Canis lupus familiaris: one gene and its partners. The protein of the gene in region 4 purifies or fractionates together with the protein of the main gene of each other region. This does not show direct contact. Links are inferred from orthologs where the notes say so. Each region holds a gene or a part of one and is shown on either strand. Other genes may lie near its edges.

Region 1 (5,825 bases), on a different chromosome or scaffold from region 4:
GGACAGAGGTACTCAAAGGGCTGCCGGGCTGCTCAGGTCCAGCGGGGTCCTCCGCGCCACCCGGACTGGAAAGGGGCAGCTTTTTCTTCCTGGTGCTGATGATTGTGGCGCCCATGGGGGTCCTGTCGGTGCTAGATGGATTCCCCACTGAGGAGGTCGCCAGGCAGCAGAGTGTTCAATGGGGTGGGGCTTCCGATCACCCTGCCGTCGTCACTGCTGGGCGGGCCCCACAGGCTGCTGGAGTACTGGGGGACCCCGCCCCACAGCAGGTCGCTGCTCCCTTTGCCTGCCAGACATGGGGCGCTCCAATGGCCAGGGTCGCTCCGCACCAGACCGTGGGAGCCGCCCGAGGCGCCCAGCCGCGTCTGGCCGGTCCCGGTACTGGACTGCCAGCTGGAGGTGGGCGGCAGTGCTTGGCCTTGGGCTAAGAAACGATTCACCTCTTCTTCGCTGGCAAACTCGGCCAAGATGGTAGTGTTTCCCAGAACACACCTAAAAGAGCAGGATGGCAACAAAATTGAGAGCTGTTTTTTTTTTTTTTTTGAAAGATAAATTTGATGGCGCTTCAGTTTGACTAAGAAAAAAAAAAACCAGAGAAGACTCAAATAAGTAAGATCAGAACTGAAAGAGGAGACATGACAGCTGATACCACAGAAACACAGCATCCGGAGAGACTCCTAGGAACAATTCTATACCAACAAATTGGACAACCTAGAAGAAATGGACAAATCCCTAGAAACAGATAACTACCAAGACCAAACCATGAAGAAAGAGAAAATCTAAACAGATGAATAATGATTAAGGAGACTGAATCACTGACCAAAAACCTACCAGCACAGAAAAGCCCTGGACCACAGAGTTTCACTGGTGAATTCTACCAAACATTTAAAAGAGAATTAACATCAATCCTTCTTGAACTCTTTCAAAACACTGAAGAGGAAGGAACACTCCCAAACACATTTTATGAGGCCTATGTTATCCTGATACCAAAGCTAGATCAGGACACAAGACAACTTACAGATCAATATCCCTGATGAACACAGATGTAAACATTCTCAACAAACTATTAGCAAAGTGAATTTAACAGCACATATAAAGGGTTACACATTCACGATGATGTGGTATCTAACTATTCCTGAGATACAGGATGGTTCAACATATGCAAATCACTAAGTATGACACAACACACCAATGGGGTGAAAGACTCAAGTCCTGTTGTCTCATTAGATGTAGAAATAGCATTTGACAAAACACAATGACCTTTCATGATAAAGACCCTCCACAAGTGGGGGACAGAAGAAACAGGCCTCTGTGCCACAAAGGCCATCCGTATATGACACACACAAGCTAACATCATACTCAATTGGTGAGAGGCTAAAGGCATTTTCTCTAAGGTCAGGAACAAGACAAGGATGCCTGCTTTTGTCACCTCCATTCCACACAGTCCTGGAAATCTGAGCCAGAGGGATCAGGCATGACAAATAAATGAAAGGCATCCAAATCAGAAAGGAAGAAGTAAAATTGTCACTATCTGCAGAAGACATGATCTTATATAGAGAAAATCCTAAAGACTCAACCAAAAACACTGTTAGAGGTAAGCAATGAATTCAGTAAAGTTGCAGCATATGAAATGGACATACGTAAAACAGCTACGTTTCTATGTACTAACAATGAAATAACTGAAAAATAAAGAAAAAAAATCTCATTCATGACAGCATCAAAAAACAAAAAAATACTTAGGGATATTTAAAAAAAAATACTTAGGGATAAATTTGACCAAACAATGAAACCTGAAAGACTTTAATGAAAAATTGAAGAAGGGGCACCTGGGTGGCTTAGCAGTTGAGCAACTGCCTTTGGCTCAGGTCGTGATCCCAGGGTCCCGGGATTGAGTGCCCATGGGCTCCCTGCATGGAGCCTGCTTCTCCCTTTGCCCGTGTCTCTCATGAATAAATAAATAAAATCTTTATAAAAAAATTGAAGAAGATACAAATGGAAGGCTATCCAGACAACTCAAAGCCATCTGTAGGTTCCATGCAATCTTTATAAAAATTCTAATGGGTTCTTTATAGAAATGGGTAGGGAACCATAAAAGACTCCAAATAGCCCTGGCAATTCTGAGAAAGAACAAAGCAGGAGGCATCAAACTTGCTGATTTCAAACTGTAATACAAAGCTATAGTATTCAAAACAGTATGGTACTGGCAAAAGAACCCCAGACACATAGACCAGTGGAGCAGAATAGAGCCCAGAAATAGATCCCCATGTAGACACTGATTTATATTTGACAAAGGAAGCAAGAGCACTCAGTGGAGGACAGTTCCTTTAACAAATCTGCCAGAAAACCTGGAGAAACGTGTGCAGACTAATGACAAGTGGACGCCTGTCTCACACCACTCAGAAAAGTTACCTCGACATGGGTTAAAGACCTAAATGTAAGATCTGGAACCATAAAACTCCTGGAAGAAAATAGGGAAAAAGCTCCTTGACATTGATTGGTCTTGGCAATGCTTTTTTGATAAGACACTAAAAGCCTGCCTGTCTGGCTCAGCTGGAAGAGCATGGGACTCTTTTTTTTTTTTTTTTAAGATTTTATTTATTTATTTGAGAGAGACAGAGAGAGGGAGCATTAGCAGCAGGGAGAAGAAGGGCAGAGGGAGCAGGAGAAGCAGACTCCCCGCTGAGCAGGGAGCCTGATGTGTGGCTCCATCCCAGGACCCCGGGATCATGATCTGAGGGCAGATGCTTAGCTGACTGAGCCACCCAGATGCCCCTAGTGTGTGACTCTTGATCTTGCAGTTGTGAGTGGAGTCCCATGCTGTGCATAGAGATTACTTGAATAAATAAAAATTAAAAAATAAATAAAAGCACAAGTAACAAAAGAAGAAAAATCAACAAGTAGGACTACATCAAACTAAAGCTCTTCTACACAGCAAAGGAAACTGTCAATATAATGAAAAGACAACCTACGGAATGAAAAAATATTCACAAACCATTTATTTGGTGTGGTTAATATCTAAAATATATAGAGAATCATGTAGCTCAATAACAACGAAAAAAGCCCAAACAACTTGATTAAAAGATGAGCAGAAGAACTGGACATTTTTCCAAAGAAGACATACAAACAGCCAACAGGTATATGAAAAGATACTCAACACTGCTGATCATCAGGGAAATACAAATCAAAACCCAACGAGATAATCACTTCACACTTGTTAGAATGGCTAGACTCAAACAGACAAATATAACAAGTGTTGGTGAGGATGTGCAGAAAAGAGGACCCTTGTGCACTGGTGGTGGGAATAAGGAATTAGTTCAGCTACTCCTGAAGTTCCTCAGAGAATTAAAAATGGAACCACCGTGTGATTCAGCAATCCCACTGCTTCAGTGCTGTCGCTGAGTACATCCACTCACACATCTTACCAAGGGCATCCTGTAATCAGTGGGGGGAGGTGGCTGGAAGATGGGTCACATGCCTGGTGCTACCTGGTGGAGAGAGCGTCTTCCTTCTGTCACTGCACTCAATGTGCATGCTTTTGGGGACCTCTCCCTAGTGGGGGGCGTGGCCGCGACAACTCCACAGCAGAAGAGAGATGCGTCATGAGATACCTGCTGCGGCATGGATCATGACCCCCGAGTCCCCACATGGGAGCTCTAGCCCCCAGCACTTCAGCTGTGCCTATATTTGGAGGTAGCTCTTTACACAGGTAATGGAAAGAAAAGATGCTCATCAGGGTGGACCCTGACCCACTATGATGTGTGTCTTTCTAAGAAGGGGGAGTTAGGACACACACACATCAAAGAGGCAACCATGTGAGGACACAGGAAGAGGGCAGCTGTCTGCAGGCCCAGGAGAGGAGCCCTAGAAGGAACTGCCCCTGCTGACACCCTCCAGAATTGAGAGGCAATGTCTGTTGCCTGTGGTGCTTTCTCACAGCAGCCCCTGGAGCACACATGACACCAGAACTTAGTGCTGCCAGGACATGCTAGGCCATGGGGCAGCCGAGTAGCGGCCAAGAGACGTACATGTGCAGGGACTTCTGGGCCTTGGCGGCCTCCTCCTTGGAGCTGTAGCGGACCACGGCGTTGCCTTGAGTCAGGTTCAGGTGGAATGTGACGAGAGGCCCGTGCTGCAAACACAGTGTCCGCAGGGTAGAGCCATCGATCTGATTGAGGAAGCAAAGGGGGCGGTAACGAGCTTCCTGGGACTTCTTCCACGACATTCTTAAAGAAAACGTATATGACCCTGGTGTACTAAACACTGGGAAATTGTCCGTCTTTCAAACGGCTTAGTGTGGAGGACTTTATGATTTTAACCATTTATGCCTTGTCATTTACCATGTACTTTTTAATACTGGATGTTTCAGTTATATTTCGTGAATTCCAAAAATGAGGAGAAAGTAAAGACCCCATTTTGGTTGTGGCCTCCCCACCCAGCCAGCTGGGATACATCACACAGAGCCCCTGGTTCCTGGCAGCCCCACAGCCCCAGACCCCGGGAAAGGGGAGTGCAGGACAAATGAGTCTTCAGTGGGTATAATTAAAGGCAAGTGACTCTGTCTAAAAGGTAGACTCTTTAAGCCTCAAAAGAGTAAAACGTAAACAATCTGCCAGGAACACAGGCCTGTCTGCCTGTGGCTGCCCACACCACCTTTGGGACCCCGTGAGGGCCCCCTGCACGGAGGCCAGCATGCATGGGGGGCAGTGGGAACCTGCCTGCTTGGTGACCCCCTCGGCAGGTGCCTGTACCTGGGGCGTGAGGTTGCGGAGAACGAGCCAGCTGCTTGTCCGTCCTGAGGTGTCGGTGCTCCATGCGGAACCTGCATGAGCCAAGGGAGAGCCTGGTCAGCACGGCCACCAGAGGCTTCTTGCTAACATGTACGGTAGCACAGACCCAGACTGCCACTGCTAGCTCTAAGTCTTTCTCAACCTTTGAAAACCCATGTTATCTTTTTGGTTTGGTGAACCCAAAACCACAATTCCTGCTGAGGTGAGCCCCTGGGGGTCCCGTCTCCTCCTCTGCCCCCACGCCCCTTAGAATCAATGCTCTGAATGCTGGGTGCTAATACAGCAGACCCACAGGACTATTACAGGCGACGGCAATTTTCAAATTATTTGCAACTGGTTTCAAACTCAGCTTAAGTTCCCAGCACATGTCTTCCACGCCTGCAGCTTGGGGGAGGGTGCTGATGGAGGCCAGCAGAACGGCAGCCCTGGGATGCAGTAGCCAGTTCACACTGGAGGCCTGGTTTTGTTCCTGGCCTGGAAAGCCCCTTGCTCCAGTGAAATGTTGTGGAGAAGTAAATACCAAAGTGGCAATTGAGCCCTTTGTGCTGGCTGAATGTACCTCCTCCAAGGGCTCAGCGTGGCCCCTGGAGGGGTGCTGTGACTGCCAGGACCGCTTGCCTCAGGACACACTGGAGCCCAGGATGGAGGTGAAAACCATGGCAGCTGGAGCGCTGCGCAGATGGCTGCCCTGACAGTGCAGAGTGCCTTGGCCTGTCCTAGGCCCTCCTGGGTTCTAGGGGTGGGGACAGCCGTCCTTACAGAGCAGCAAGAGGACAAGATAACAGGCATACTCATCCCTAAAGGGCAAACCGAGCAGGCCCCGAGCCCCCGTGCCCCTCCAACCTGCCCCATTTGCGTACCCGAGGAGTAGGAGCTGGTCCAGCCGAGGGGGCTGGCTCCCCAGGTGGAGGAAGGCTTGGGATTGCTTAGCCCTGGAGGCGGCCTTGTGGGTGCAGTAGTGTTTCTGGGCACCTTCCACAGTTCATGAGATAGAGAGGCTTGCGTGTGGGAGGCAGGGCCAGAGGACCACGTCGATTT
Region 2 (5,081 bases), on a different chromosome or scaffold from region 4:
GCTTTTATGAGTCTAACTTATAGATAAGAAATATGCTTAATTTGCCAATCAAACCTAATTTCCAGAGGCTGTAGTTAGTGTGACACGTCACATGGTTTGTCACTGAAGAATATTCACGAAAACATAGCCCACCAACATTCTCAGGGTGGGCCTGGGCAAGGCACACCGTGGGTTACCATTTTGTGTGAGCTGACGCCTGCGCTCTGGGCCGCCCACAGATTGTTACCAGCGCCTGGAGTTCCTGGGAGATGCGATCTTGGACTACCTCATAACCAAGCACCTTTACGAAGACCCGCGGCAGCACTCCCCGGGCGTCCTGACCGACCTGCGGTCCGCACTGGTCAACAACACCATCTTCGCGTCGCTGGCGGTCAAGTACGACTACCACAAGTACTTCAAAGCTGTCTCCCCTGAGCTCTTCCATGTCATTGATGACTTCGTGCAGTTCCAGCTGGAGAAGAATGAGATGCAGGGCATGGACTCCGAGGTTAGTGCTGCTGGAGTGCATGGTCACTGCTCTGCTGGCAGGAGCTGGCCCAGGGGGGTCACCTGCCCCAGGGGGCTCCGGCCTTCGGGATGGGGGAGGGACCACCGAGGGATGGCTGCCCTCTCTGGGTCTAAACCTGACTGCCCCAGGATGGTGGGATGGTGCGATGGTGCATGTGCCCTTCCAGGGCAGAGGAGGGACCAGGGGCCGTCAGCTCGGTTCTCTTCTGCTCCCGCCACCTGATCGGCAGCCAAAGCAGCTCAGCCTCCCCCTGCCCCTGCCCCTGCCCCCAGCGGTGCTGGAACCTTGGTGAGGGCTCCTTGCTGTTTGTTCTGCCTTTCTTTCTGTTAAAATGGGGCAGAAAACATTCGCTGGTACTGTCTCAGGTAAGCCTCACAAATGTATGGTCTGCTTCGACTTGAAAATAGGAAAATCTCTTTTAAAAACCCACCTTCTAAAATCTTAACCATTGGAATTTGAGAGGCTTCTGTTGTAAGTTCAGCCAAAGGTTCTTTGGTGATGGAGCTAATTTTAATGTGTTTGTGAGCTATTTGGAAGTGTTGTAGCAAGAATTTCACTTAGATCTTTCCACTCTCCTCTGATGCTTCGCTGCCATCCGTCTGCATACCTGTGTACCCAGGAGAGCACTCCCAGGTCCGCTTCTCCCCATTCCGATCCCTTTGTTTTCCTTACTTTTGGAGATTTCTTACTAGGAGTCGGAATTTATTCATAATTCTAGTGGCTGTTTTAATTGCTCTGGTTACTTTTATACCTTCCCTTTTTATGATCACACCAAACTGTGGCTGGAGACTAGTGCATTTCCTTGACTTGCTGTGAGAGAGATTTGAAGTATAGCCTCAAGGCGAAGTGTCCTACCCTGTAAACAATGCAGAACCTGTGCTGAGGGAGAACCCACTCTGCCCCGTGTGTACTCCTCCAAGGTTAATGGTCCGAGGTGGAGCACAGCTACCAGTGGGACTAGGAATGAGAACCATCTCGTGTACTTAGGATTATTTCTCGTCTCATTCTTTAGAAATGTTTAAGCTAAGAATTTGAGGAATTAGCTAAAATTAGTTTTAAGTTCTCTTTTGATGGCAGTGGGACATGGTGACTCTGTTCATTTTTGTTCATTCTTTTCCTTTGTGTAAACATAGGTATTAGAAGTTACAAAAACTGATTGGAAATGTCAGTGGTCTGGCTTTTCTAACTTACTGTCGGATCTTAAGCAAGTCTCTCCACTTCTCTGGGCCTCAGTTTCTTCATCCATGAAAGGAGAGAATTAAATTCGATAAGTTTTAAAATTCCTTTCTACCTCAAAACTGTGATGTATGACCAATGTCTTTTTTTCTCAGCTGCCAGCATTATAAGTGGTTTATATAGAGTTCTGTGTGGCTAAACAATCCATTTAGAAATTAAAAAAAACAAAAAAAACAAAAAACAAGTGCCCCCTTCTCTTTCTTTTTTCTTTCTTTCACAAGTAAATAGTATTTTAGAAAATACAAATAAGCAAAAAGAAATACTAAAGTTATGCAAATATACTACCTTAGAAATAACCAAATGAACATTCTGTGATTTTTTTTTTTGCTAATGTATATAAACATAAGCATACCTAAAACATAAGATGGAATTATATTATGCATAGTATACATAACCTGTTCTTTTCACTTCATATTTTGAGGACCATTTTCCGTGTATCCATTGGCATTATGACTTTCAGTGGCTGCTCACTAGTCAGTTTATGGCTATAATGAAACATATTTAAACAGTCCTTTGTGGCTAGATATTTAAGTTCTTTTTATTTCGGGTTTTTAGTAAACATGGGTGTGGTGACTATATCCAATACTTCCTTAAGATAAATTCCTAGGGATGGGATTACTGCATCAACGAGTTAGGAAATTTTAAAAAGACATTTGATAACATACCTAAGTTTTTTATTACATTAATTTGAATACTGTGTATCAGTCCTCTCTTAATAGTGAATGCGTATTAAGGGGTTTAATAAAAAGGGAACTCAGTGGAATCTATCTTCTAGTAGAATTTCTCAGTCATAAAGTGACAGTTTATACTTGCCGAAGCAGTTTGTACACCCTTGTCACTGCTGTACTAGTTAGTATTCAGCCTAATGCCTGCGGAGCCGCTAGGGGGTAGAACTGTTTAAAGATACAGTTCTTTGATTACGAGTGAATTTGAACTTTGCTTAATACATTTATTAACTATTTCTAATTTTGTGTTGTTTCTGTTTTCATTTAGAAGTACTCTTTTTTCCCTTCACTGAGAATAGAATCATACTAAATTGGGAAGAGTTTTTTTATCCCTTGAGAAGTTGGAAAAAAAATTTTTTTCTAGATAAGATGTTTGCAAAGAACTTACTACAATGTACTAGGTGGTTGCTATAAATGGTTGGTATTGTTACCCTTGTTAAAGGTATAATAAAAGTCCTATCCAAGAAAAGATACATACTGCTGTGGAATGCCTTTTAAGATGGCCTTGTTCCTTACAAATCACTTTTCTCTGTGTAAATAGCTTAGGAGGTCTGAGGAGGATGAAGAGAAAGAAGAGGACATTGAAGTTCCAAAGGCCATGGGGGACATTTTTGAGTCGCTTGCTGGTGCCATTTACATGGATAGTGGGATGTCACTGGAGATGGTTTGGCAGGTGTACTATCCTATGATGCGGCCGCTGATAGGTACTGTGTGCTCCCTTTGAAAGAAACAAAATCATAATTAAAAACAACTATAAGGATATTATTCACATTGCTCTTTCATTTTGATTACAGAAAAATTTTCTGCAAACGTGCCCCGTTCCCCTGTGCGAGAATTGCTTGAAATGGAACCAGAAACTGCCAAATTTAGGTAAGCAAAACTGTGCATGGAAAAAATTAAGTTACTTAAAAACAAGAGTTGGAAGAGTTGTCAAAGATGCCATCAACTAATGATACGGAGAAGTATTTATACTGGGGCATGCACTATGTACTCTCCGTTTATAGTCTGATTGACTTTTCCTTTCGCTTTTATAAAGTAATGCTGGGTTAAAGAGGAAAACTCAGCCCGGTCTGCTGGCGTCCGCGCCACCGTGTAATGCACGTTTCCTTTGTGTGCCGTCAGCTCATACCCGGGCCCTCCACCTCAGAGCGCGTGCCCAGTGCTGATTGACAATAATAATAAATAGTTCTGACTTCTGATTCCAGCTGTTTGGCTTTTTTTACAGCCCGGCTGAGAGGACGTATGACGGCAAGGTCAGAGTCACGGTGGAAGTGGTAGGGAAGGGGAAATTTAAAGGCGTCGGCCGGAGCTACAGGATCGCCAAGTCTGCAGCAGCAAGAAGAGCCCTACGCAGCCTCAAAGCCAATCAACCTCAGGTTCCCAACAGCTGAAACCCCTTTTTAAAACAAAACAAAACAAAACAAAAAAACATAAAGCAGAATTAAGGGGGAAAACTATTTAAATTGAGAAGGATGATTTAAAGTCCACAGTGAGCGGAATGAATCGAAGGCAAAATTTAAAGTTTGTTTGATAACGAGATAGATTACAGAATAAAACATTTAACATATGTATAAAAATTTTGGAACTAATTGTAGTTTTAGTTTTTTGCGCAAACACAATCTTGTCTTCTTTCCTCACTTCTGCTTTGTTTAAAATCACAAGAGTGCTTTAATGATGACATTTAGCAAGTGTTCAAATAATGATTGACAGTTATTTTTTGTTTTGGGGTTTTGTTTTTTTAGTTTAATTTCCGTCAGCTTTGCATAGCGCCAGGAGGCCAAGGAGCTTACAGCTGAGACAGCCCCTAGGTTCTGCGAGCGCCCTCCCCTCTTCTTCGTGGGCGCTGGCACCTGTCTGGCCTTGGCGGGTGCGCCCAGGAGAATGGTGCGGTTGGCCGGGGGAGAAAATGCCTGTGCTGTCTTTTCTTTCTACATTCTGTCATGTAAGATGTTGTCTCCCGGTCGTCATTGCACTTAATATAGTAAGGGACAGGTGGGTTTTTTTTGTTTGTTGTTTTTGTTTTTTGTTTTTTTTTTAGGGACAGGTTTTTAATGAACATTGGCTGGCATGTTGGTGAATCAAATTTTCGTTTTCTCATGCCACATAGTCCTACATACAAAAGGTTCTTGCCTTAAAAGTGAAACCCTCATGGACGTTCTTTAATTTCTGATCTTTTTGGAACAAACTGTTTTACATTCCCTTCATTTTATTATGCATTGAGATGTTGAGACAGCGTGATGTTTGCAACTCACTAGTGTAGTTGTGACTTAACTTATTACAGGATTATATTAGAGTTTCTGTCATACGTGTCCTGAAGGCATTTTGAAAACCAGAATATTATATATGTAGTCTATGGGTTTTTTTAAGCACCATAATAAAAATAATCTCTGGTTAAATACCTGATTTTACTAAAAACCTCCTGCTAGGTAGTTCCACTGATGGAAATTGTTTGTGGCAAACAGTTTTGCCCTGGAGGCTGTTGCTCTAACAAGATAAACTCTAGACATATCACACCTAAAATATGCTGCAGATTTTATAATTGACTGGTTACTTATTTAAAGAAGCAAAACAGAGCACCTTTACCCTTAGTCTTCTCACTTAAATGTCTTACT
Region 3 (5,712 bases), on a different chromosome or scaffold from region 4:
CCCTCCTCTGGAGGCTGGATGTTAAGAGCCCGCCCCTCCTCTCCCAGGGAGCAGTGCCTTGATGAATCCTGTCCTCAGGGCAGGGAAGAGAGAAGACATGAAGCCACAGCAGGGGCATGGCTAACTAAGGAAGTGGGGATCTGGGGAATGTCCAGGAGTCTAGAGGCCACAGAGGTATGGCTCTGGGACCAGTGGAGGTGGGGAGGGGGGCACCGTACCCCATCCCGGCAGTGAGCCCCAGTGAAGAATGGCAGCAGGAGTGAAGAACCTCGGGCAGGAAAGAGAGGACGATGTCCCCTGATGGTCCTCGTGGCAGCTCATCTAACTGGCGGCCCCCTCATGCTCTGTTTCCTAGATTGACGGCTCAACTCTGCGTACTCTGTGCATGCAGCATGGCCCACTGATAACATTCCACCTGAACCTCCCACATGGAAATGCTTTGGTCCGTTACAGTTCAAAAGAAGAGGTAGTGAAGGCACAAAAGTCTCTGCACATGTAAGTTGGCCATCCGGTGTGTGACACCTGGAAAATGCCCTCCTGATGAGTAGAGTGTGGGGTTCCCTTGTGTATGGAAGGACAGCTGGTGGCACTGTGTGTCCTCTCCGGGCCAGCGCGTGGGGTCCCGCGGTGAAAGGGCATTGTAAGGCAGCGACCTCGCCTCTATCTTGGGTTCCAAGGTCAGTACTCCTAAGGTGAAGCATCGCCCCTCAAACCGGCCTTAGGAAATCTCTTAAATCACCTTTAAATCACCTATAGGAGGCAAAAGGCCTTAATCTAGCTGGATACCACCACCATACACGCGGGGCAGGTTTTGCTCCGGGCCCTGGAGAGCCCTGCAGTGGGCGTGTCACCACCACCCCACCCCCCACCATCCTCCTCGCCTTTTGAGCAGAAGCTGAGTGCTCCTCTCACTTCGAATCAGTGAGATCTTCCAGATCCCCTGAGTCTTCACCGCACCCCCCTGTGTCTCTTCCCTCCAGGTGTGTATTGGGGAACACTACTATTCTTGCTGAGTTTGCCAGTGAAGAGGAGATCAGCCGTTTCTTTGCACAAAGTCAGTCTCTGACCCCTTCTCCCGGCTGGCAGTCTCTCGGGTCCAGCCAGAGCCGGCTGGGCTCCCTCGACTGTTCCCACTCGTTCTCCAGCCGGACCGATCTCAATCACTGGAATGGTGCTGGGCTGTCGGGAACTAACTGTGGAGACCTTCACGGCACTTCACTCTGGGGGACCCCACATTATTCCACAAGCCTGTGGGGTCCTCCCAGCAGCAGCGACCCCCGGGGAATTAGCAGCCCATCCCCCATTAATGCTTTTCTTTCTGTTGACCACCTGGGTGGGGGTGGAGAGTCCATGTAACGTGTAGATGTAGACTCACGAACTGTGACCTCAAGAAGCGAAAGAAAGGAGCACTAAGTTGGGCTCGCCGCCTGCAGCCAGGGGCCACCTGTGGGAACAGCTCTTCTCTGCACATTTTCCACTTTGTTTTCCCTGAAACATATCAGTTTGAATACTTGAATCATGCAGGCCAATATTATAATGTGAAAAGGTATCTATCTATTTACACTCCCAAATAGCGCCATACATGCTAAACCGTATAGAATGAGCTCACTTGTGTATATTCATCATGTTTAGCCTTTGGGTTCTTTTTTTCACCACCACCCTCCCTTCCCTGTTTCCCTCCACATCCCTCCCTCCCTGTTTTCCTTCCTCTCTTTCTTCTTTCTTTCTTTCTCTCTCTCTCTTTTTTTTTTTTTTTTGCAAAACCATTTTTTTGGGCTGATAATGTATGAGCTTTTAACTTTGCACTGAATGATGTTCTCTCGTCTAATCGGCAATATGGGGGGGCAGCTGTTCCAGTGTAAATGTTTACTCAAGGATGTTCTTAAAGGTGTGCGCTCTCTACTATGCCTTGATGTTTGCCTACCTTACTGTGGTGTCGTGGAGTTTAAAAGACCGAGTTCTGATGCTGACTTAGGACTATAAATGAAAGTATTGCACCAGTGTTTTCATGTTATAAAACTAAAGAATTTCGCTCTGCAGTTTGAAAAACTGTGGCCACAGCTGTGACTTGCAGCCCCCCTGCCACCCAGGACGGGCCCTGCACTTTGAATAGGCTTTCCATTTTGTTTTGAAGGTTCCCACGGTGAACCTTCTTGTTTACAGATTTTTTTGTTTGTTTTTTGAGAAAAAAAAAAATGTTTACTCTTCCATCATTTAAAAAAAATTTAAAAGACAAAAAAAAAAAAAAAAAAAACAATGGAGGATGATTTACAAGATGCTTTCTATCTCTGGGAAAAAGGAGCAGCATTTGGCCATGTTCTTTTGTTTTCTATTCCTGTCCTAAATCCAAGAGCATGGTTCTCAGGAAAACCAGTTCCCCAGTTAGGAAAAAAAATTTAAAAAATAAAAAAATAAAAAAAATAACTCCTTGTAGTTTCTTATAGGAAAAACAAAACCCCAACTTTTAGCACTGATACTACATATTGCTCTGTTAAAGAATTTTCTCTGCCAAAAAACAAAACAAAACAAAAAAAAAAACAAAAAAAAAAACAAAAAAAAACAAAAACAAAAAATCGCTTAAAGCTGGAGTTGACATTCTGCTTTCAGATGCTGTCTTTTTATTAGTGAGTGATGATGGTTTGCTAATAATAGGTGATAATTTTTTGTAACCCCATCAAGTGGCTCTCTCTGTTTCTGCTCTCTTGTGACTGTGTTAATGTTGAACTGTTGTACCTTAAAGCCGAAATCAGTAACTATGCATACTGTAGCCAAGGTATTGGGCTTACAGAATTGTTCATTGTATAAAGAAAATTTTAAATGTTGTTGCAAACTAACGAGTTACACCATTTTTAAACTTACTTTCTCCTCGCCCCCTTTTTTTGCCCACAAATGGTATTATAATGCTTGCTTAGTCAAAGAAGACGGGCCAAACAAGGGTAAACATTTTAACAGCGCAGAATTTGCCATCATTTCATTGCCTTGATCTAACTGTTTGTGTCCTAAGATGCAAAAGAAGTCAGTGGCTTTTAACTGTTTACAAATAGAATGTGATTGTAAAATGTACAGTTTGGTTGTGTTTGAATTATGAAATCCCTTCCGATATAATAAACCATGACTTTTTGGCTGCTCAACATTAATTGTCTCTTTTTTGTGAATTTCTTTGTACGCTCTTTTTTACAATGAACGTTTCAACGTTGCTGTATATGAGGGTCCTCATAGAGCAACCGAGTACAAATCTAAGCAAATATTTGAACATTCTATCCGAACTTCTCCACAATTTCACCCTGAAATAATGTGAGAACAATGGGAAACTGTAGCTTGCTCCTTCCTACCCTCTCTGAGCATCTTTGGGATCTTGTTGCTCAAAGCTCTCCTGTGACTTCATCTCCCCCACCATTTGTGCCCATCTCAAGCCTCAGCAAGAGACCATTTGGAACATGAAGCTTAATGACTTGCCAGTGTTCTAGTGTTAAACTCTCATACCTCTGTTACAAATGAGAAATGCCACAACCTGGACTGGCCTTCCTCCCCCCTTCACGGCCCTCTCCTGACCGCGGGAGCTCTGGGGCAAAACCTGTGTGTGTATTCCAGTGTATGACTTCAAATCATGCTCCGGCTTGCCAGGTGTGAGCTAATGTCGGACACCTTCCTACAAGCAAATGTTGTTCAATGCATTCAATGTATATTGACTTCCATACTGGTTTTTCCAAAAACCAAAGGTAGCTTTGAAAAACCACGTTTGGAAATGTTTGGAACGTTAAGCTGATTGACCTTTTGGGGCTTTGAGTAGTATATAATTGAATTCATAACTGCGTTAATTGTATTGTTAAAAGTGTTTGGGAGTTTTTTGCGCTTGTTATGTGGAAATAAAGTGTTTGATTTAAAAAATTTAACAAGTGGTTTTGGTTTTTGCCTAGTCCTTAAATCATTACAACTCTTCCCCAAGCGACGTGTCACTCAGTCTATCATAACCTCTCAGCTACTCGGGCCCCAGGTCCAGGCCCTAGTTCTGATCTTGACCTGCGCCTGGCCAAATGGCCTCGAGTCACTGGCGGCCTGCAGGGGGCGGTCTAAGCACTTTAACACATCAGGTTATGCATTATTCCCGAGGATGGCTCACAGTGGAGTGTGGCTCCTGCGTCCCTGGACGAGTGCTTGGGCTGTGTGCGGGGCTTGGGGCATCCGGAGCTGCCCTGCATCGCTACCTGGCTTGGCTTACACCCCTGCTCGCTGTCCCTGCAAGAGCAGGCACCTCCACCCCCACCCACCCACACCATTCCCGCTTGCAACAGCAGATTTGTCATCCCCCCTCCAGTCGGTATGTTGAGGCACTGGGCCAGGCCACCGCTGGTGACTGAGCTCTTGCTCACCTGGAGAAGCCATGTGCTCAGACACCTAGTAGGTGCTGAATAAATACTGAAAGGAAGGGCGCTTGGGTGGCTCAATCAGTTAAGTGTCTACCTTTGGCTCAGGTCATACCAAGGGTCCTGGGATCGAGATCCACCTTGGGGTCCCTGCTTAGCGGAGAACCTGCTCTTGTTCTCCCTCTGCTCTTCCCATCCCCCTTCATTTATTCTCGCTCTCTAATAAATAAAATACTGGAAGGAATAACAACACCCTGTTGACATTTGAGAACCAAAAATTCTGGTAGTGCCACTTCTTGAACTGGGTGCACCTGGGGGAATCGAAGTTCTTGACAGGTGAGGGGTCAAATCCAAGTCAAAGGGCATGGAGAGAATAGCGTGAAGACCAAGAATTAGGATGAAGCAGATGTTTGGATCAACAACAAATGAAGGTCGCACTAAGCAAATTAGCCCACTGTTGGGTTAAACGGCCATTCCAAGCATTGGAGCATTGGTCTTCCCCCTTCTCCAGAGCTTAGATCATTTCCGGCAGAGCCTTTGATTTCAGATGCAGGCAGTGGGGTCACCGAGCCAGAGCCAGAATCACAACCCCAGTGAGCTTTGGGGGTCCCATCCAGACACCCAGCCTCTGGACCTGGCAGGACTTCCTCTGAGCAGGCATGTACAAGGTCGTGGGGAAGGAGGAATGATGGAGGAATGATGGTGATGGTAAGTCCAGGGTCCTGCACATACCGGGTGCTTCGAGCTCATTTTCTCCTTTGACCTTCAGAGCCCCCAGCCTGGCCCTAGAACAGGAGACCGTCCTAGCACAGTGGCTCTCAGATTGCCCACCAACACACCCCTAAAGGTGTTTTGTTTTGTTTTTTTAAGATTTTATTTATTCATGAATGAGAGGGAAGCAAAAACATAGGCAGAGGGGAGAAAGCAGGCTCCCTGCGGGGAACCTGAGGTGGGACTTGGTCCCAGGACTGTGGGATCGTGGCCTGAGCTGAAGGCAGACGCTCAACTACTGATCCACCCAGGCATCCCCACACCCCTAAAGTTTTGGGGGGGGGTTGTTTTTTGAAGATTTTATTTATTCATGAGAGACACACAGAGAGAGGCAGAGACACAGGTAGAGGGAGAAGCAGGCTCCCTGCAGGGATCCCAACATGGGACTGGATCCCAGGTCTCCAGGATCACGCCCTGGACTGCAGGCAGGCGGCGCTAAACCACTGAGCCACCTGGGCTGCCCCACACACCCCTAAAGTTAAGTAGAGGATGGAGGAATGTGTATTTCCTTGGGATTGGGGGACAGCATTTTTAAGCTCTGCATTTTAAAGTTAAAACCACACCTGAATGTTGCATT
Region 4 (6,609 bases):
AACACTGTATAAGACTGCGACCAAAGGTTATCAAACCACTTTGCACATCATTAATTTCAAGTAAAAGCAAATGTTTTTCTTCCTTGGCAGGTAAGTACAATTCCTTCTCCCTTAAACAGTAGTCTAACTACACCTAAAAATACCTATAGAATAGGTCCTAAAACCCTGCTACAAAGGAGAAGTGATATCCTAATGAATGTTTCTGCAGCTTCCATTCACACTTTATTTGGAATTAAAACAAATACTTTTAGTCCAATTGTAACTAAACTATAAAAAAAAACAACCAGAATTTCATTAGAAGTTTTCCTAACTAGGGGATCCCTGGGTGGCGCAGCGGTTTGGCGCCTGCCTTTGGCCCAGGGCGCGATCCTGGAGACCCGGGATCGAGTCCCATGTCGGGCTCCCGGTGCATGGAGCCTGCTTCTCCCTCTGCCTCTCTCTTTCTCTCTCTCTCTCTGTGACTATCATAAATAAATAAAAATTAAAAAAAAAAAAAAAGAAGTTTTCCTAACTAAAGAGTCACAGGCACAGATGAAAAACTATTGTTATATTTAAAAACCAATTGTGCTAGCTTTTCTGGTTAAAGTTTACGCAGTTCTTTTTTTTTTTTTTTTTTAAGATTTTATTTATTTATTAGAGACAGAGAGAGAGGCAGAGACACAGGCAGAGGGAGAAGCAGGCTCCATGCAAGGAGCCTGACATGGGACTCGATCTTGGATCTCCAGGATCACACCCTGGGCTGAAGGCGGCTCTAAACCACTAAGCCACCAGGGCTGCCCAGTTCACCCAGTTCTAAATCAGTACAATGAACAGGACACCCTAAAAAATCACTTAAAATATTACATGCAAAAATGGACAAATATTCATTTTTAGTAATGATTCACCCAGAAACAATTAACATAGCATTTGTATCCAAAGTCCAAGTCCCCCCATGTAAATAAATGTAAGTTTCCTATTTATCTTCCTAAGAACTAGTATTTAAAATAGCCTGTCATAAGGTAATACCTAAGACTTTCCACACACAAACCAAAACCTTAGAACCAAATTGGAGCAAAGATCCAACATTTACTCAATAGACTATCAAAACATTTATGTCTAAGAAGATGTTTTTAAGAAATCTCTGCACCCAAAGTGGGGTTCAAACTCAGAACTGAGTTCAAAAGTCACAGGCTCTACCAATGAGCCAACCAGGCACCCCCATGTCTAAAATATTTTAAACCTAAATATGGACCTATTTTTTTTATGTTTTATTTTTAAGTAATCTCCACATCCAACATGGGGCTCCAACTCACAACCCTGAAATCAAAAGCCTCACGCTCCAAAGACTGAACCAGGCAGGCACCCCCCCTCTTTACCTCTCAAACTCTTGATTTAAAACTTAGTTGTGTATTTTACCCAACTATGCTTTCAGTTACACGTGCAGCATTAACAATTACACATAAGACCCAGGAAGAATGGAAACTTTGTTTTTGATGATGACAATTCTGAGCCATATTATACTTTATCTCCATTATTAGATTAATCATGTATGAACTGCATTGAAGAGCAAACTTTGAGTTTCAAGAGGTCTAAGCATACGGTCGATATTATCTAATTCTACCTCCCCAGATGTGAAGATAGTTAAATGTGTATATATTTCAGCAATGGCACATGCAAAAAGAAGACGTAAGACTTATCTATAGCTCAAGAACTCACTGGAGTGTTTACTGAATCACACTTGGCTAGTTGGACCAGTTGGCCAGGCGACTGGACTTCAGAAATATTTTTGAGGATGTTGTCCATACATTGGGCCATAATTTCATACAAAAAACCCAAAGGTGAAAAACACTTAAAAATTTTTTTGAACTATCTTTAAAAGTCTTAGGGTAATTAATAAAGTGTTTAATTTTCATGTTTTGCTTTCCAGGCCTGATAACAGGACAGTTATGTAAAAGTCACCTATAGCCCTAGATCATCCTATTCACTCAAAAGTATGGTACACAACTAAAAGACAAAGGCAGGGCACAGTTTCAGAAATATACAAATCAATGATAAACAAATGAAAATCTAAAACTTCACAAGCTCGGGGATCCCTGGGTGGCTCAGCAGTTTAGCACCTGCCTTTGGACCAGGGCGTGATCCTGGAGTCCCAGGATCGAGTCCCCCATCGGGCTCCCTGCGTGGAGCCTGCATCTCCCTCTGCCCGTGTCTCTGCCTCTCTCTGTGTCTCATGAATAAATAAATAAAATCTTAAAAAAAAAAAAGTAACTTTAAGAAAAAAATTAATAAAACTTCACAATCTATAAAGTATCCCTTTTAAAGAAAATATGAAGATGACAGAAAAAAGAATGCAAAAGAGAAACAGAAGAAACTGATTAGAAAAAATTTCATGTAAACCTTGCAATAATCTCCTCGCCCCATTCCCGCCCCCCCTCCCCGCTACAAATTGAGCGCTGTTTGCATCTAATGACAATTACACTTCTTTTTTTTTTTTTTTTTTGACAATTACACTTCTTAACTTAATCAACGAAACCCCTCATTATCTTTAGGTCACCGATCTCCTTTATCACTTAACTTTTTCTTATATTCAAATACCTCCCAGACTAGCAAAACGACACGTGAAATTCAGGAACTTGAGATCTCCATCAGCAACGAGACAGCCCGTCCCCACCTCAATATTCCAAAAATCAACTTATGTGTTACCGTCTGGATGAAGCGTACTTCCAAATCTACCACGTTATAAGTATGATTTTTTGGGAAGCAGGTCATTATGTAACAGCTACTTTGTGTCTCCTAGTTACTTTAGAATCGTAAAAAAAGTGCTTGCTTATTTATTTATTTATTTATTTATTTATTTATTTATTTATTTATTTATTTTCCCCCAAGGCAAGTACTGCCCATGTTGCAGATTTTCTCAAAAACTGCCGTTTTCCCAAGAGGAGAGAGAGCAGGTTGTTTTAATTTCCAGAACTCCCGGAATAGGAGAGTCTTCTCCGGGGACCAGGGAAGGCGGAGGGAGTCCGAGCAGCAGCTCGCGGATCCACGTCGCCGCGGGAGCGGGATGCGGGCCCGGGGGCCGGAGGCGGCTGCCGGAAGGAGCTGCGGCCGGGCCGTGACCTCGCCCTCGGCCGGGTCCGCCCCGGGCTCCCGCTGCCCCGCGGCTCCGCGGGACGCGCACCCCGCACGCCGGCCGCCCGAGCAGCGAAGGCGACGCCGAAGCCCGCCTGCTCGCGGGAGGACCCCGAAGCACGACGCTGCCAGCGGCGCCCCCCGCCGTCCCGCCCTCCGCGCAGCTTCGCGTCCTCCGGGCCCGGGACCCGCGGCGGGGCTGCGCGGGGACGGAGGGGGCGGGGAGGGGGACGACCGCGCGCTCCGGGGCTCCGGGGCTCCTCCCGCCCCGCCCGCCCGGCAGCCGCGGCTCGCTCACCTGCGGAGCCGATTTCCATTCATGGAGCTGGGGGGGTGCTTCGGCCGAGAAGGGCGCCCGCCGCTGGGGGCGCGGAGGCAGCGCAGGGGCGACGCGGACGCCGGGCCTGCCGGCGGGCGGCGATGAGCGCTCCTCGGGGACGGCCGCCGCGGGGAGGCAGCGCGCGACCCGGCGGGCGGAGGGCGAAGCGGGAGGCGGCCGGGACAGCCCCGTGGGAAGGCGCGCCGCCCGCCGCCGCGTCCGCTCCCGCGGCCCCTCCACGACTGCGGCGCCGCCGCCGACCTCGCCGGGGGCCGCCCCCGGAAGCCCGCTGCCGTCACTTCCGCCGCCCCCGCCGCGCCCTCCGCCCCGAGCCGTGCGGCTGCGACGTCGCTGCGGGCCGCGGGGAGGGGCGGGGGCGGGGCCGGGGCCGGGCCTGGGCGGGGCGTGCCGGCCGGAGACGACCCTGGGGAGCCGCAGTCGGCGCTACCCCGCGCCGGGCGGAGCCTTCCCGAGGCAGTGGCGCTTACCTGGGCGGGAGCCTACCTGCAGCGCGGCCGCTCGGGAGCGCCGGGCCCGGGCCTGCCGCCGGCTGAGGCACAGCGCACCCCCCCGCCCCGCCCCAGCAACCCCCGCCCCGGCGGAGCACCCCCCCCCCGCGCCCCGCCCCGGCCGAGCCCCCCCCTGCCCCGCCCCCTCCGAAAGCGGTCAAGCGACCACTATAGGATCACTCCCAAGTCCGGGGGCGACGACCCTGGCGGTGGGGAGGGCCGTACAACTTAGCACGGGAAAGGAGTATTAAGGAACAAGACTTTAAAAAAAAAAAAAAAAAAAAAAGGAACAAGACTTTAAGGATCCCTGGGTGGCGCAGCGGTTTGGCGCCTGCCTTTGGCCCAGGGCGCGATCCTGGAGACCCGGGATCGAACCCCACGTCGGGCTCCCGGTGCATGGAGCCTGCTTCTCCCTCTCTCTCTCTCTCTCTCTGTGACTATCATAAATTTAAAAAAAAATTAAAAAAAAAAAAAAGGAACAAGATAAACACCACATCGGATAATGTCCTCGTTTAAAACGCTTTAATAGCGTCCCGGCACGCCGAGATCGACTCTTGCGGGGCCAAAGCGCGCCGCGCGCGCCGACCCTTCCTTCCAAGCGAGACCACTAGGCTGCAGCTACGCCGTCCGCTCCCCGTCCCCGCTGTGGGCAAGCCTCTTCCTTTCCCACGTGGCGCCCCTCGGCTCGGTTCCCTAGGCCAGGAACAGAGCCTCTCCTTTCCCTCCCCCCTCAGCTTCCCTTCTTCCCTTCCGTGCCCCAGAACCTTCTTATACCGCAGCCTTATTTCAGAGAGGTCTTTTCTTGATCACTAATGGGGGGAGGGGGCGTTCTTCTATTACAGCATTTCCCTAAGAATCCTCCCAACCTGTAGTTTTACTTTAGTTTGTGTGCCCCCTACCCCCTACCCCGCACAGGCTTCTAAGCACTAGCTTACCGCGGCCAGCACACTCACTAGGAACAGTAGGTCCTTAATATGTTGCCTTAATGAAAGGTGATGCTATTCAGATTAGAGATTCGTGATTTTTGCCTGGGTCCCTAAACATCAGTAATGTAATTTAGACCTTTAAAAATCAAAATGCTTTTTGTTTTTTTAAAGTTTGGGACAAAGAGAAAAAAGGAGAAGTATCTTCAGTCCCCCCCAGTCACGGAGGGACTTTGGGTCAGTTGCTTGAGCCTCTGGGTTTGTTTTCTTATCTGAGAAATGGAGAGAATAACGTACCTTACATAACTGCTGTGAGGTTAGGGAACGTACACAAACCAGAGCAAAGCCTAACTAAAAGTTAGTGAAGAGAAAGTTTGCTATCGATAACATTTTAAAGCACTTATTAGATGCACCTACTTTACAGTAAATGTTTCCTAAATGGATGGGATTCAAACCCTCTTCTGTCTTGACTTCAATTCCGCCTTCTTCCTACCCTTAACCGTTTTTTTTTGTTTTAATTTTTATTTATTTATGATAGTCACAGAGAGAGAGAGGAGGCAGAGACACAGGCAGAGGGAGAAGCAGGCTCCATGCACCGGGAGCCTGATGTGGGATTCGATCCCGGGTCTCCAGGATCACGCCCTGGGCCAAAGGCAGGTGCCAAACCGCTGTGCCACCCAGGGATCCCTCTTAACCGTTTTTACAGAATACATGGAGTTCAAAGTATCAAATTGTTACCAGATGAAACACTGTATCCTAAAAGTTACTTTCAATGCCTGACTATCCAGAATCCAAATCAGTAGCAGCATCCAACAGGGTAAATACCAACACTTGTGCAAGGGTCTATCACACCCTCAACCTCCCATTCTGGAACTGATTCCCTAAGTGACTGCACGCTTGTCATCTCCCAGAATATAAACATGGTGATGAACCGCTGAGGAAGGTCACTGTCTTGTTGACCTTGATGGAGGAGGACTTGGATCTCCTAATTCAGTTTAATGTCAATGAGGCCTTCCCATCTACTTCTGCTATTCAGGGACACCATCACTTCATCATAGAAGGAGCCCAGGTGAAAGGTACATTAATTGCAATATCAAGAAGTGGGAAGGCGAAAGGTCTAATGATTCTGCCAAAAGCAAATTGCATGAGGCTCTCCCTGGACCACCCTATTTATGGCCAACCTCATTCCCAAATAAGTTGGCTTTCAAGGCCATAGAGCAGGGTCTTTGTGTATCTTGTTAACTGCCATAGCCCCAGGGTCTAGAACAGTGCCAATGCCTGGCTGTGGGATGGATGGATGGATGACTGGGCTTCAAGAACAGGGCTTGAGAAGCAGGCTAAAAACTCTGTCCTCATCCCTTGTGACACTGGTTGCTTTCCGAAGGGAGAACTATAAAATAGTACAGACCTTTGAGGGACAAGGAAATCAGTGCCCTCTGAAGTTGCATTCCTAGGCTTCCTGTGCTAGGTAAACATCACAACTGGATGATGAGAGCAGCTGGATAGAATCCTCTCTTAAACTTGTGTTGAAGTAGTCAACTTGACTGGAGTTCAAATCTCTTCTCCCAGACCATCGGTTTTTACATAGCAGAGAGAGAGTTATTCTGTACTGCAGCAGAACACGATATAAAACACATTGGCCTTAGGGACAAAGCTGAGATTGAAGGCCCTCTGCTGCTGTATGTGATTCCAAAAAAGTCACTCTGAACCTTGTACTCATCTCTAAAAGCCAAAGTACCCAAGTAGAAAA
Region 5 (5,825 bases), on a different chromosome or scaffold from region 4:
CCAGGGCCAAGGCAAGGCCACAGTCAAGCAGTTATAAATTTGAGAGGCCTCCTTACTTGTCTAGCAGCGAAGTTTTGGGGGTTGAGCCCTGTGCCGATTGCTCCAAGGCTGACGTTGGGTAGTGTGGAACCAGAGGGAGACAGCTTGTAGCTGGGAGAAGGGGAGAAGGGAGAGCAGGGAGCCTCATCCCCAAGGCACCCATCTTGATTGGAGAAAGGCAAAGTCAGCTGAAAAGTAGTAGGAGTTAGCCAATCACAATGAGTGTTGGTTAGTGAAGCAACAGAATGCAAGAAGGGACAAGAGAGAAACACTAGGAACAAACAGAGTTAGAGTGTATTAGCAATAAACGAGGATGGAATTTGGATCTGATCAGAGTCATCACACTTGGCCCAACAGACACCATCTGTCACCTCTGATATGGATTTTTTCTTATCCTCTAAGTAACACATTCTGTCCATTGCACTAAGATAAAAATTGCCAGACTCTGAATTTTTATGCATCTAATATTGATTACTCTATGTGGCTGCTGAAACAAAAGCCAGAGTAATCTTATGAATCTGTTGCTGCCTGAAACAGCATTATCAATAACGTCAAAAATTTGCCAGATCAAAAACTTTTTTTTTTTTTTTTTTTTTTTTTTTTTAGATTTTATTTATTTATTCATGGGAGACACAGGCAGAGGGAGAAGCAGGCTCCATGCAGAGAGCCTGACGTAGGACTCAATCCTGGGACTCCAAGATCACGCCCTGGGCTGAAGGCGGAGCTAAACCGCTGAGCCACCCAGGCTGCCCAAACTTTTGGTTTTTATTGCTTTCTGAAGACCAGGGCCATGACAAATCAGTATTCTGAATCAAGGAATTATTTCCTCCAATTGGAAAGACAAGAATCAAAAACAAATAGGTATTCATGACTTCTTTAAATCAGGTTGAGAATTTGAACAGTATACCATTATAACTCACAATAGGTCACTAGAGAAATGGAGAAAGAACAAAGGAACTCTCTTAGAAATATCAAAAGAGAACGTTCTGGAACATCTTAACAAAGCTAGAAGGGAAGGCCTTAGGAGATACGAATTATCTGCACGATATCCCAAATTTAATTTCTCACTGTACAGCAGAATAAATTGGTCTCTAAAATTTCTTCCACACATTTCGCATTCCCACTATAAAAAGTCAGACCATTTATTTCCCCCTTCCAAACTTCATAAAATTTCTAAAAACTCAGACCTTCTTCATAATACTCACATACTACAGACAGATGGTTCTAGCTTCTGCCTAGTCACCTGTTGACATCAACTGTTTTCATGTCAACACTTAAATGCAGGTGATGTTTATGTTTTGCTCATTAATTAATTCAGTGACTCTGTGCTTCCTCCTGGAATCAATTATCAAAAGAACAAATGGGAACCAAAGTGGTTCGCATGAATTATCTTAAAGGATTTGACTCACCTTCTCGAAATAAGGCCCACTATCTGTGGTTCCCATGTCTTTGGAATTAGGTGGACGGAACCCAGATCGATCCTTCCTCATGATATCATTAAAATCCCCGAGATTCATTGCTCGCTTGTCCACGTCAAATTTTTTATCTGGAAGGCTCCCTGAAAAGTAACACAGAAGTGAAAATTTCAAGAACAAATATCTCCCTCATGATGGGGGTGGGGGGGGTACCGGTCCCATTCTTCTCCCTGAGGTGCTGGGCATAAGACCATGAGGGATCCTCTTGGTTCAGGCCCCCAGGGGCACGTGTGGATCCTTTTGTTCCTTCTTAAAAAACTTGTGTCAGTTGTAGCTTGTTTTCAATGGAAGATTGAAAGAGAGATTTAGGGCCAACCTGGTAAAAATCTGACTAAAAAAATAGTTCCACTGGTTATTGACATGTTTGATGACTATAACTCACTCATAAAATCAAATGCACTTCGTGAGAGAGTTTGTCTCCTGCTGTTGTTTTAGCATCTGCTAGATAAATGGGTGGGGTTGTGACACAGTTATTGAGAATAAAAAGGCCTAAGAGGCATAGCTGTTGCCCTAGAATTTAAAACTTAGAGTTGGGCACATTAAGTGAACAAGAGATTTCCCAAGTACCATGACTACTACTCCTTTTCTTCACAGCTCTGGAAATTTGCTATTATATACTGACATGATCAGTGCCCCTGGAAACTCATTTTTTCGTCACTCTTAGATTTTAAAATATCATAGATCAGACTATCTCCCTTATGACCTAGGACTATTTTCCTTTTTCCTTGGTTTGATTCTTTTTAAGTTCCTCAAGGTGAGCAATAGCATCATGGTGACGATCCCACAGACTAGGGGCTAACATGGCAACTGCTCCACTTAGGGTGGGAGAACTCATCAATAATGAAACATTCCAGTGCAGACAGGACTACCAACCTGAGAACAGAGTCTGGCAGGGCCACAGACATACTTTGGCCACACACTAGTTTTTAAAATCTGAATTAGTTTCCAATATTTAAGAATCAGGATGTCAATTTATGTCTGAATTTCTGGCCTCGCTCGCCAACTGGAAGCTCTGACAAAGCTGAACCCTTACTCTCCATGGCAACAACTGTTAAGGCCAGAGCAAGGCTGATTCCTTTATCCTGGAGATGGTACATATTCCCCCGACAGCTAACCAGTGGCCTTCAACTCCCAATTTCTTATACCTGGTACATGACACTCATTTTGTTACTTTCCTGGATCCCGCAACTATTTGAGTTTTCAATCCCTAGTGTCCAGGATGGTCCTTTATGTCTGCTGAATGGCACCCATCCCAACTCAAGCTGAGCAGGGATCCAATATAACATCATTTTTTTTTTCAATATAACATCATTAATCACAATATACCCATTCATATTAGTAGAGTGATACACACCTACAGACAAATCCATTTTGCTGCCTGGATTATCTTCAGTTTGACTCTGAAAAAGAAGCAACAGGGAGGGAGGATTAAAGGTTTGAATTTGCAACATCTGTATGAGAGAGATAAAAAAATGGCATTATTTACGTGAGAGTTGTGGCGTACTATTGGTACTCTACATGGTCCTTTGACATAAACCTTATACTGGAATGAAGACAAGATCACTGATGATGTGACTAATTTTATTGCCTACGGTGTCCATATTCCCACATTCAATTTTCACATAGAATTAGCTTCAGTAACTCTATGGACAGAGCAATAGCTAAATAGCTGCTTAGAGAAATAAGTTCCAGTCGGCTCAGGATCAAATTCCACGAGTGTCAGCCAAATGATGACAACCTCTTCTCGTGACTTGTCCAGTCATCAAATCTGGAAATGTGCAGCCAAGTCAAGCTATCTGTCTTTTGGCAACTAGGGATGGGGTGTCCCACAATGTTCCCGAGAGATTTAAAGAGAGAGAGAGAGAGACAGAGAGAGAGAGAGAAATCCTACAAGAATTCCCTATATAATTAATTACAAATAGTTCCCCTACTTATTTTATTGTTGCTGCTATTTTCAAAACTGTAATATGAAAACTGGTACAGTATTAGTCAGGGAACGTTACGTAAGTTTTAAGGCCTGGCTCTTTCTGCCCCTAACCACTTAAGGAAAAGGACACAAGGACTACAAATTCAAAAGCCATAGCCTTTAAATATTGGAGTATTTCATTAAGAATAAAAGAATAGAGGACAAATACTGCTAAATCCAAATCAGAAACACTGTTTAACCAGTTTCTAAATCTGTAATGTTGTACTCTAGTGGCAGCGGTCTTCACATTTGTACTAAAAGTAAAAGCTGGGCTGTATTACACATAAAAGAAAATGAAACTTACCAGCAATCCCATATTTGAAAACTGTTTGGCAAGAGGATTCATCCATGAATCATTGTTTCCTCCTTTCAGTGAGCACTACAGAAATGAAATACATAACCTCAGAACCAAATTATTTTATCTCACTTCTTATCAGTTAGATTTATGTACTGATTGAAAATGCAGAACCAACAGTTTACCTTTCTGAGCCCAAATTTCCCTCTTTAACTGTGGTTATTTTGATATTTTATCCATTAGTCTGAAAGAGTAATAAGCTTTAGTTCTATCTATATTTTCATTCTTATTTGATTCGTCACACTGAGTTAGAACTGGAAAAATACATGGTTAGCTGGTGTTTTGTTTTATTTTGTTTTAAGATTTTATTTATTAATTTGAGAGAGAGAGCGAGAGAGCGCGCACACGCACAAGTAGGGGAGAGAGAGGGGGAGAAGCAGACTCCTTGCTGAGCAGGGAGCACTACACGAGGCTCAATCCCACGATCCCAAGATCATGACCTGAACCAAAGGCAGATGCTTAACCAACTGAGCCAGCCAGGAGCCCCTGAGTTTTTGTTTCTTAAGGGACAAACTAGTTTCTCCCCAGAATAGGACATCCAACACCAGCTCCACTTTTACTTCTATGGAGAAGGTAGGTGGAACAATGATGAGGAGTTGGTGGGGATGGGGTGATGGGGCTTTGCTTACTTGTACATTCTACAAATAAAAACTGTTTTGATATTTGTTATGTTGATTTTACTATTCTTCAAAGTGAATAAGTTCACTTAAGTTCAGTCACAGGTTTTAAGGTCAAAAAAGCCCTCACTGTAGGGAGGGTAGAATTGGTAGTTTTTGTTTAATACAAACAGTTTCAGTTTTGCAGATGAAAAGTTTTGTGGCTAGATGTGGCGATGGTTGCACAATAGCGTGAATATAATCACCACTACTGAACTGCCTGTGCACTTAAAAATGGTTACAATGGTAAATTTTACATTATCTGTCTTTGATCACAATCAGTTAAAAAAAAAAGGCCCTTGGACACAAAAGGTCAGAATTGTCAGTTGTGGAGCAGAAATGCCAAATTTCAACTGAGCTGAATCAGTTATGTCTCAGGGCCACCTGAGTGGGCCAGCACCTTTCCTTCACTCACTTCTGTCAATCAGCAGTATTCCTCAACTGTCTTTTTTTCTGTCTTGTTGGGAATTTGTAAATGACAAAAAAAGCCACAACAAGCCAGATAACAGGCGAGTACAAAGATACTGAGAATTTTACGGATTAATTCCATCTGTGACTAGGGGGAGGCAAAGCAATCCTTAGAAGGGAAATTGTAACTAGCTGCTTAAACAGGATGCCTCCAAGATAAACAACCTATGTGTTTAGGCTATCAAGTTACCGTATGCAGAACAACATTAATATCCTACAGCAAAGGGGATAAAGGCATAACCCCCTTAGCTGACTGAAGACCTTCCAGGACAGTACTTGGTATTTGAAACCAGGACAATATTCACTGTGAAGTGTTTCATGGGGCAGCAAGGCTCCCATGTTGAAATTAAATATATGACTGCCTATTTCTAATTTTCATCAATTTCTCTGCAGAAGGGAAAGAATGCCTCTGCTGGGAGAACGGTTCAGGTTCAAAGACTTGTTCTAGACTGAAACCAAAGTCCTCATCAAATTATGCAAATCAAAGGAGAAACGGCGTTGCTCTAAGACATGGAAAATGACAACTTAATTCCTTTTTTTTTTTTTAATTAAGTAGGCTCCATACCCAGCGTGGATCCCAACATGGGGCTTGAACTCACAACTCTGAGATTAAGAGTCGGATGCTTAACCAACTGAGCCACTCAGGAGCCCTGGAAAGTGACTTTACAACACAACCTGGTACAGGATATAGATAAATCATTTGGTTGCTACAGTAGGGTTATGTACTGGCACTTCACTTTGTTGGAAGAATGATTCTGGGTTTTGGAATCTCCCGAATCGGATAAAAACCAGTCATGCTGATTGCCACTGGAAAAGCTGTCATTCTTTGGTTTCTCTTCTATATATCATGGGGACTACCCTAAGGA

The links.
Region 1: the proteins of AGO3 (region 4) and TNRC6C purify together in Homo sapiens (affinity purification with mass spectrometry; 3 studies listed by BioGRID and IntAct, with this or other methods). This does not show direct contact. The link is inferred for Canis lupus familiaris from reciprocal best matches to the Homo sapiens genes AGO3 and TNRC6C.
Region 2: the proteins of AGO3 (region 4) and DICER1 purify together in Homo sapiens (affinity purification with mass spectrometry; 3 studies listed by BioGRID and IntAct, with this or other methods). This does not show direct contact. The link is inferred for Canis lupus familiaris from reciprocal best matches to the Homo sapiens genes AGO3 and DICER1.
Region 3: the proteins of AGO3 (region 4) and TNRC6A purify together in Homo sapiens (affinity purification with mass spectrometry; 7 studies listed by BioGRID and IntAct, with this or other methods). This does not show direct contact. The link is inferred for Canis lupus familiaris from reciprocal best matches to the Homo sapiens genes AGO3 and TNRC6A.
Region 5: the proteins of AGO3 (region 4) and TNRC6B purify together in Homo sapiens (affinity purification with mass spectrometry; 6 studies listed by BioGRID and IntAct, with this or other methods). This does not show direct contact. The link is inferred for Canis lupus familiaris from reciprocal best matches to the Homo sapiens genes AGO3 and TNRC6B.

Annotation. Positions count from the first base shown.
Region 1 is NC_049230.1:3,927,077-3,932,901, forward strand, and holds the end of TNRC6C (trinucleotide repeat-containing gene 6C protein), read right to left. Parts: coding exon 5,648-5,825; intron 4,820-5,647; coding exon 4,749-4,819; intron 4,166-4,748; coding exon 4,026-4,165; intron 493-4,025; coding exon 132-492; downstream 1-131. UniProt on the Homo sapiens protein: Plays a role in RNA-mediated gene silencing by micro-RNAs (miRNAs). Required for miRNA-dependent translational repression of complementary mRNAs by argonaute family proteins.
Region 2 is NC_049229.1:64,298,675-64,303,755, reverse strand, and holds the end of DICER1 (endoribonuclease Dicer), read left to right. Parts: intron 1-218; coding exon 219-487; intron 488-3,010; coding exon 3,011-3,173; intron 3,174-3,263; coding exon 3,264-3,339; intron 3,340-3,694; coding exon 3,695-3,860; downstream 3,861-5,081. UniProt on the Homo sapiens protein: Double-stranded RNA (dsRNA) endoribonuclease playing a central role in short dsRNA-mediated post-transcriptional gene silencing.
Region 3 is NC_049227.1:21,485,764-21,491,475, reverse strand, and holds the end of TNRC6A (trinucleotide repeat-containing gene 6A protein), read left to right. Parts: exon of another isoform or gene 1-41; intron 42-47; exon of another isoform or gene 48-174; intron 175-355; coding exon 356-495; intron 496-980; coding exon 981-1,356; 3' UTR 1,357-3,888; downstream 3,889-5,712.
Region 4 is NC_049236.1:6,321,694-6,328,302, forward strand, and holds the start of AGO3 (protein argonaute-3), read right to left. Parts: upstream 3,540-6,609; 5' UTR 3,426-3,539; coding exon 3,407-3,425; intron 1-3,406.
Region 5 is NC_049231.1:25,844,803-25,850,627, forward strand, and holds part of TNRC6B (trinucleotide repeat-containing gene 6B protein), read right to left. Parts: intron 3,860-5,825; coding exon 3,785-3,859; intron 2,915-3,784; coding exon 2,869-2,914; intron 1,598-2,868; coding exon 1,449-1,597; intron 228-1,448; coding exon 57-227; intron 1-56.